Linked DNA regions of Xenopus tropicalis. The protein of the gene in region 2 interacts with the protein of the main gene of each other region in a pairwise test. Links are inferred from orthologs where the notes say so. Each region holds a gene or a part of one and is shown on either strand. Other genes may lie near its edges. The genes, in order: c9orf16 and atp6v1d.

Region 1 (4,588 bases), about 96 Mb from region 2:
TTTCTCCTAATAGTATTATATATAAAACACCCAGTAAAGCACTGACAAGTGGACCTTGGAGCCAGAACACTAACTGAAGCCCGCCAGTCACTGCTCCTTATTTGTACAACAAAGCACCCTTCAAACCAGCTATTCTACTCCTTGTTGGCAGCTTCCCCAGGCTGGGCAGCAGCTTCCAGGACTTCAGGATTCCATCCAATCAGCAAATAGGCTGGCCTGACAGGAAACTGCAGTTCAACTTCACCTGTGTAAATAAAGATCTTATATTGGCTAGCAACATTCTACTGTGCTTCTGGGGAGGGACTGTTAGAACATTGTCCAACAGCAACTGGTAATAGAGACAGACTTCATGTGGAGGAGCACCACAAACCAATCCATACAGACTGCTCTATCAGACCTGTGCATTCTGGGTCTTTGCATACACCGCCCACCAGCAATGCCAGTGACTAGCAGGCCAGTGCCCTGTGCCCTTCTGGGAGCCGCTGTGACGTTTAAGTACTTGGTAAATCCTGGTGCCTTAGCATCTCCATCCTCAGGAAGCACTGTAATTGGTTGCTCTTTAATCAACACAAACTAGAAAGTCACTCTGGGCAGGTTGCATTTCCAGATAGAATGCAAGGGAAATGTGGCGGCAGCATTGAAGGGGAGAAGGTGTCTCAGCTTTTGTTTTTGTGTTTTTTGCCTCTGTGGCTGGGAGACCGACACAGATATCCCCCCTGCCCTGCTTTACCCTAAATCTTGCCCTATCTCGTGCCTAGTGATGTCAGTTGAGTGACATCACTTGACACCAATTCTGACTGATGACATCACTAGGCACCATATAAGGATACATATTACACAGTGACAGAATACAGCCTTTTAGGTCCCCCACCATCCTTAGCATTCATCTGTCACAGCTACAAGGGCCCATAGGGGAAGAGGGGCCCTAGAGCAGTTGTACCCCCGTCCAGTAGTCCCACCAGTGACAATTCATGGCTCATGTATAACATATGTACATATAGTGTATGTTCCTACCTGCTGCTCCTCCTCTGCCCTCTGTTCCCCCAAGGAGGACTGGAGCGCCTGGAATACCCCCAGAGAGCCCCCCAGCACAAAGGCCAAACCCAGCAGCTTCCTAGTCCTTCTGTCTGAGTCCTTCCACCACCCACCGGCTCTAAAGCCCCTCACTACCGGGCAGGTGGGGCCAACTAATGGAAGGTTGCTCTTGCCCACTGCCCTATACAAGGGAAGGTGACTGCGAGTCCCCAGGCTCATGTGAGCCCTGGCACCCAGACCAGACACAATCAGGGACCCACCGCCTGATACCGAGGGGAAAGAAAGACACCGGCCGGTTTGCGCCGCCCCCATTACAACCCCTGTCAAGCGCTGAGGCAGCACAAGCCGCCTAGTGCTTGCCCCAAACAACCCGGCTGTGTACGCAGCCATCTTGCCTCTAGCTACGCCCCGCCCACTACATGCTAGCACCTCCGTACTAACCAGTCGGAAGCACCCTCTTGCGTTTCATTGGTTGCATCTCCGTGACGTCACGCATGCATTCCCAAGGTCACGGGGTTTGGGAGTGACGTGAGAAGGAGAGGTGGGAGCGAAATGTCTGGACCAAACGGGGATCCGGTGGTGCCGCTGGGAGAGGCGACAGGAGATGAAGGTTCGTCATAGTTAGCCATAGCCTGGGCTGGGGGCTCGGAAGGGTAACCCTGACCACATTCTCTCCACATGTTCCTACCGCTGCTTTTAATAGTGATCATCTTTCTAAACCTGACTGAGACGCAATGGCGCTTCTTATTTTACTTGCCCTTGTGGGACCCTATTTTGGCTTCTGTAGCCGTGGGGCTATTGGGGCAAATCTATCTGGGCTCTTTTTCCAGAGCAGTAACTCACAGGGTTCCTATTGGTCACCATTATAAAGGGGGCCTTTACACCAGGGAGAAGTTCTTAATGGTGGGTTTGGGGCTTTGTGACTTGCTGATCAAGGTGCTAGCCCGTCGATATCTCCACTGTATTCATATCATTGACTGTCAGGCAGTGTTAAGCTGGCCCACCAGGATACCAGGAAAACTCCCGGTGGGCCCAGGTATAAGTGGGCCCTCCTGCTCCTTACCATTTGGCCTGCTTTATGCTCATTTCCTATTTCTGAATGGGAACAAAGAGGAGAGACAGATGAAAGAATAGACACTAGCATGTAAATAAAAGAGACTAGGAGAATAAAGAGGTTGGTGAGCAAAAGGCGGAAACATTGTTTGGAAAGCGGGCCTATGGGCTAAGGGTTTTTGGTGGGCCCCTGGGTTCCCAGTCAGGCAACTGCTGTCCGGACACGCTGTAAGGTGTAGGATGGATAACTAAAAGCTTATACTGCCAGAGATCGGCCAGCGCACCAGATTCCCAGATCTGCAGGCCTTTGGGACATGGCAGTTGCGTGTGACGGCTGTACTTGCTGCCAGCCCAGCTGCTCCCCGACCTGGTATATAAATTGGAGTTGCAGGCCGGTCAGTTAGGGGTCTTAAAATGTTCGACCCTTGCATCACTATTTTGCAACCCATTAGCCAACTTTTGTAATATTGTTATAAAGGGAGGTGCACACAGTTCCTTATATCCCTGGTCATGGTTTGTAGGGTGCTGCTCATGATCAAAAACCTATTTGGGGGTGGGATAATGTAAAAAGTGCAGTTATAGGACTGTGGTCCTGCCAATATATAATGCATTTCCCTGATTTTACAGGGAATAATGCACTGAAATAGATATACACCGCACAGTTCTCAAGAATAAGGGGAAAGTGTTAGTAGGGGTTAGATGTTTGGAAATAGAGGGACCGGCCCCCTCGCCCTGCAGGTCTACTATAATGTAATATAATGCCAGTCATGCTTATACAGGGTGATTCTCAATAAGTTTGACACCATTTTTTTTTTTGTTTCCTGAAAACCATAAAATGGAGGTTAGACCTGCAGGGCGAGGGGGAGGTTAGTACATTGGACCCTAGCAACCAGACAGCTGCTCAACATTACTTTAAGGGTAGGCTACCCCTTAGCAGTGCACTACTAACCACTGTGTATTCCCTGTAGATTACGCAGCCTTGGACTTTATGTTGGATCAGATCAATTTCTGCCTGGATCACTTAGAGGAGAAAAATGACCAATTGCATGCACAGCTTCAGGAGTTGCTGGAATCCAACCGCCAGGCCCGGAGGGACTTCCAAATGCAGATACATCAGGATCTGACAAACAGTCCAGACGGGGAGCATTCAGACACGTAACCCACCACCCCGAGCACAAAGGACATCCAAGACGTGGCCAGACTTTCTAGCACAGTGACCACTCTGTAGTCTCTATAAGGTATTCAGATCCCACACAATAAGAGGCACCAGTGCCCGGTCCCTATTGGGAATATTGCATTATTTTATTTGACACAGTGGGGCGGAGTAAAAAAAAAAAAAAACTAAAGAATTACAAGTTTAAAAAAGAAACTGTGTTTTGGGCTGTTGTATGATTGAGCATGCAAAGCAGCCTGTGCTGTCACTGTTGTAGGAAACTGATCTCCTCCTCGCATCTTTATCCCCTTAGGTTCCCCTTTAAAAGGGAAAGACGTACAACTTACACTTGTTAAAATGTTGTCTCTGATGTTGTTTCAGTACTAAATATAGCAGCCAAGCGCTAAGTGATAGCAAGAGGCCTCAGCAATCAATTTATTTATGTTAGTCGTGGAACTTGACCGTTAAAAAAAAGACAACCCATTCCTGTTCTTTGAAACATAGCAATGCACTAATGGGCAGAATTGGACCAATTGCAGTTGCACATGATTATGTTAGTACTGTGTAATTGTGAGCAGTGCCCCCAGGGCGGCGCTGTGTTATTTTCTTTCCAGGGAATTATAAGAATAAAGATCCCTGAATAAAAAGCTGTGCATTTTCTTTTAACACTGTAAGGGGGGCAACAAAGCACCAGGGCTCGCCTGAGCATGCCACGTTGATGAATTTGGACACAAAAGTGTGACCGATTAACGTTTAGTATTTTATACAATGTCCAGTTATTAGCAACTTGTCAGTTGATCTTGTTTTACCATTTCTGCATTATTTAACTTCTTCTGACACTCTCCAGCTTTCAGGGGTTACTGACCCCAGCAGCCACGCAACCATTGTTCTTTCAGTTTTACAGTTTTTTAGTTGCTACAGTTTTATCGTTATTGCTGCTGTTTATTACTTATCTTTCTAATCAGTATCCCCCTTTCTATTCATATTCCAGTCTTTCATTCATGCCACTGCCTTGTTGTCAGGGTAAATGGGACCCTAGCAACCAAAGAGCTGCTAAACAAAAGCTAATTAAAAAAACATAAAAAATGAAGACCAATTTTAATGAAATTCATCTCGAAATATCATTCCATCATACTAAAAGAGAAAGGTGAATTACCCTTTTAGGTTAAATGTTAATATGTTATAGAAAGGGCCACTGTTAAATTGATGTGTGTTGGGGGTCCCTCCACAGCCAATAAGCCTACCGCTGTGTCAAGCTACAACTTTATTCCTATTCAATTCATCTTCTCCAGTCTCTCATTCAAACCCCTGTCTGGTTGCTAGGAGAAAGTAGATCATAGCAACCAG
Region 2 (4,483 bases):
GCTGCCATACACATCCCTAGGCCTTTGTATGGCGTTGCTGGGAGAGTTTAATAGCACTGGGGGCTTTGCACACACACAGGATAAGGAACCTCTGCCAAAATGTTTCTAAATGAACATCCTACATTGTGCCTGGGGGCTGCCATGTTTCTTGGCTCAGCTGAGGCATTCTGCATAGAGAGCAATAGCATTGCCACCATTGTTATACTCAGCGGGGGGTTATTATTGCAGCCTATGGAAAAGCACAGCAGCCAGGTGAACCAAACACTTTCCCTTGTCCCAATGTGACTGCTACCGGTTCCCTCCATCCCTTCCTTGCTGGAACCAAACCCGGGGCCAGTATATTCCTGCTTGGCTGCCAGGCAGTGTTGCCTAAACAGAGCGCTTGTTTACACTGAGCACCCGGACAAAAACTCAAAACTGGCCACATTCCTGGCAAGGAACATAATGATGTGTGGGGGCTGGGGGGGCAGTTCCCCCCCAAAGTGCAGGAGTCTCTGTCTCTTGAATAACAACAAATAGCATTTATATAGTGATAAAAGCTCCCTGTATTGTCAAACATAAGGATATTTTAAGGTCACGGAACTCCGAGGTGACGTCTAATATCCTCATATCTTACAAGAGGGGGTACATTATTAATTACAATACACAACTTTCAGCGAGTCGTGTGACAGAAATGACACCACTGAGCGCTGTTTGTATAGATGTAGTTCATAGGATATTCATGGCTCTTATTTATTCTACAGGTATAGGACCCGTTATCCAGAATGCTCAGGACCAATTGTATTCCGGAAAAGGGGTCTTTCCGTAATTTGAATCTCTATAACTTAAGTCTACAAAAAATCACTAAAACATTAATTAAACCCAATAGGATTGTTTTGCATCCAATAAGGATTAATTATATCTTAGTTGGGATCAACTACAAAGTACTGTTTTATTATTACAGAGAAAAAGAAAATCAGTTTTAAAATTTGAAATTATTTGATTAAAATGGAGTCTATGGGAGACGGGTTTTCTGTATTTCAGAGCTTTCTGGCTGGATAACAGGTTTCCGGATAAGGGATTCCCTACTTGTATATAATTTTAGTTATGTGACTATATAGCAGCGACGCTGAATTAGTATATATTAAAAGAGTGGCTTGTTTCAATAGTCAGAACCAGCAGTGCAAAGGACTGACTGAGAGAAATAATGGAAATGTGCAATAACTGTATATAGGGAAGAGGAAAAAAAAATATATATATATACACAGACATATTTACAGTATCCCCTTTCATCAGCAGAAAGGTCAGTGTGTGTAGTCACAACCTTCTCCCTGCCATTAGGGAACTACAAGTTTCAGGAAGTCACAGAGCAGGGAGGGGAACGTACAGGCTAAACACAGGCAAGTGAACTGTGTAACTGTGTGTAACTGTGTGAGTGTGTAACTGTGTGAGTGAGTGTGTAACTGTGTGAGTGAGTGTGTAACTGTGTGGGTGAGTGTGTAACTGTGTGGGTGAGTGTGTAACTGTGTGGGTGAGTGTGTAACTGTGTGGGTGAGTGTGTAACTGTGTGAGTGAGTGTGTAACTGTGTGAGTGAGTGTGTAACTGTGTGAGTGAGTGTGTAACTGTGTGGGTGAGTGTGTAACTGTGTGGGTGAGTGTGTAACTGTGTGAGTGAGTGTGTAACTGTGTGAGTGAGTGTGTAACTGTGTGAGTGAGTGTGTAACTGTGTGAGTGAGTGTGTAACTGTGTGAGTGAGTGTGTAACTGTGTGGGTGAGTGTGTAACTGTGTGGGTGAGTGTGTAACTGTGTGGGTGAGTGTGTAACTGTGTGGGTGAGTGTGTAACTGTGTGGGTGAGTGTGTAACTGTGTGGGTGAGTGTGTAACTGTGTGGGTGAGTGTGTAACTGTGTGGGTGAGTGTGTAACTGTGTGGGTGAGTGTGTAACTGTGTGGGTGAGTGTGTAACTGTGTGGGTGAGTGTGTAACTGTGCGTATATAGTGAGGCTGCCGCACTCCCCAGCCGACACAAGTGCATGGGTTTGGCTAGTACTATGCAGCCGGCTAGCAGCTCCCATATCCCCCAGCCTAACATGGGCTCACTAGCAGCAATGGCTGGGCGCTCAGGGGCAAGGGGTGCTGGTCCCCCCAAATGGAAAAGGGTGTATATCATTAATTAGGATGTCTCAGGCCTCTGCTGAACTGCATCTCCCACTATCCCACTGATGGCCTTTAGCTGCCATTGCATGTATGTATATCTTTATTTATAAAGTGCTACTTATGTACGCAGCGCTGTACAGTAGAATACATTAATACAAACGGGGTTATTAAAATAATAATAGATAAATACAAAGTATAACAATAAATACAGATAAATACAAGATACAGTTGCAATAAGTTAAGAGTCAAAGACACAGAGGATGGAGGTCCCTGCCCTGCAGAGCTTACAATCTATATATCCATTAAGGTAGTGGGAGTTGCTGAAGGGCCCCAGGTAACAGCTGAACCCTTACACAGAATGCTTTGCCTTTGCTGCTAGTATCTGTTCCTATCCCACCCTAAACCCAAGCCAGTGGGTGAATATCACACACACACATTTATCTATCTATTTTATATATATCTTTATACACTACAGGGATCCCCCCATCAACACATACCCCTATGAGCCATTTGCCTGCCTGTAACCCCACTGACAAATACCCCAAAAGATTATAACCAACAAGGGACATCTGTGGCTCTAGTTATTGCAGAACTACAGATCCCAGAATTCCACGCCAGCAGATGCCCAAGCCCCCGATCACGGGTATATCTGACCGTATCACCATACTTACATCCTGGAAGGGAACACCTCGATCCTGTCCTTGCCCGACATCTTGACCTGCGATCTGCTTCTCCCCTCACTGACACTCGGATTCCTGCGGCAGAACCAAGAAAGCGAGAGATTGTCACGTGATCCAGGAAGGGAGGGCGTGGTTCTGTCACCTGAACATCTCTCGTCATGTGATCCGCAGCAGACGGAAAAATGCTGCGCCTGCGCACGAAGAGCGTTTTGAACTGTATTAGCTTGTCAGACGTTTTATGGGTTTCTGCACCCACATCGGAATATTTTATTCGTATTCCTTTTTTAATATGATATGAGTTACACGAAACAACATTTTAAAGCGATAATGTTCCATCTTCAATATGGCGCCCTGTAACCTCCTAACCCCGTAATGGTAGCACCGACTTCCGCTTCCGGTGTCAGCGCTGTAGTTGTGGGGTTGCGCATGCGTGTTGTTCTTTGCCGGAACGCATGCTGATGAAATAGTGCGGCGTGAGCTGAAGGAGCCCGCCCGGTGCCAACGTTCTGTTTGATCGTAGGGAACATCAGCCAAGTAAGGCTCCGACTCATGTATCTGTTCTAATAGCCGCCTTGGCCGCTCTGCTGTGGAGCTTTAGCGGCGTGGAATCGCCCTTCTATAACTATCTGTACAGGCTAGCGCGGGACACTGGGAGTTGTGGTTCTACTGTAGTTGGATGGGAATTCCCTGCAGATTCCTGTAAAACGTGTTAAAGCGATCTACCCACCCTTATACAAACGTGCTATGGCTGCTGTATATGTACGGTGGGTAACATCTCGCCTTCTAGCTGTCCCAGAACCATCTCCCTGCTGGGGCCTTTGTTAAAGGGGAATTCTCCTTAAAAAAGAAAGTGTGTTTTCTATAATGAAAGATAATGTTCTGAGTAACTTAGTTTACATTCATTGCACATTGTCAGGAAACTTGAACTTATTGGGACATGTAACGGGAATTAAAGCAGTGTTTAGCCTTTACTGTTCTCTGGTTCTGACTGTAGGAACATTGTAGCAGAATTCAGTTCTCCTCTAGATTTGTTTACCTGTTGGCTTGTGCTACATTGTTTCAGGAGTCAGAGCCAGCAGTGCAGATTATATTGCTTTCAACCTGCTGACAGCCAGCTGTTGTTGAATCTGCAGCCCTCAGCAGTTGGTGGATGCTGGCACTTGAAGTACACAGAGGCCCAAACATCCCCAATAAATAGTAACTGGCTATTACAGGGGTCCCCAACCTTTCTTACTCGTGAGCCACAGTCAAATGTAAAAAGACTTGGAGAGCAACACAAGCACCATAAAAGTTCACGGAGGAGCCAAATAAGGGCCAAAACGTTAGTGGCCGATTGAACGATCTTTCATGCGACCAAAAGATCTGAAATCGCCACGTGTGTGGCCACCTTAAGAGGAACTCCATCCAAACACAATTTAATCCTTTTGAAAAGTAAACCTAATTTTAAGCAACTTTGCAATATACATCAATTAAAAAAATATGCAGCCTTTGGAACCGTTACCTAAGCCTGGCCCCCTGTTCTCCTGCTGATCTGGCTGGCAAAATGTAACCGTAGTCAACTGTTCTCAGCCTGCAGCCTCCAAATCCCACAATTCCCTGCACATGTGATGTCAGTAAGGAAAGGAACATCGTGATGCAATGCATTGTGGGTTAGTTCCTGCATGCTGTC

Evidence for each region.
Region 1: the proteins of atp6v1d (region 2) and c9orf16 interact in binary tests that used the Homo sapiens proteins (3 or more experiments, as listed by UniProt). The two-hybrid records come from large-scale screens. The link is inferred for Xenopus tropicalis from reciprocal best matches to the Homo sapiens genes ATP6V1D and BBLN.

What each region holds. Positions count from the first base shown.
Region 1 is NC_030684.2:22,809,682-22,814,269, reverse strand, and holds c9orf16 (UPF0184 protein C9orf16 homolog), read left to right. Parts: upstream 1-1,503; 5' UTR 1,504-1,587; coding exon 1,588-1,645; intron 1,646-3,056; coding exon 3,057-3,247; 3' UTR 3,248-3,888; downstream 3,889-4,588. Other genes in the region: ptges2 (prostaglandin E synthase 2), read right to left, coding at 1,015-1,425. UniProt on the Homo sapiens protein: Essential for intermediate filament organization in intestinal cells, interacts with intermediate filament and regulates intestinal lumen morphology.
Region 2 is NC_030684.2:119,233,016-119,237,498, reverse strand, and holds the start of atp6v1d (V-type proton ATPase subunit D), read right to left. Parts: upstream 2,865-4,483; 5' UTR 2,847-2,864; coding exon 2,806-2,846; intron 1-2,805. UniProt on the Homo sapiens protein: Subunit of the V1 complex of vacuolar(H+)-ATPase (V-ATPase), a multisubunit enzyme composed of a peripheral complex (V1) that hydrolyzes ATP and a membrane integral complex (V0) that translocates protons.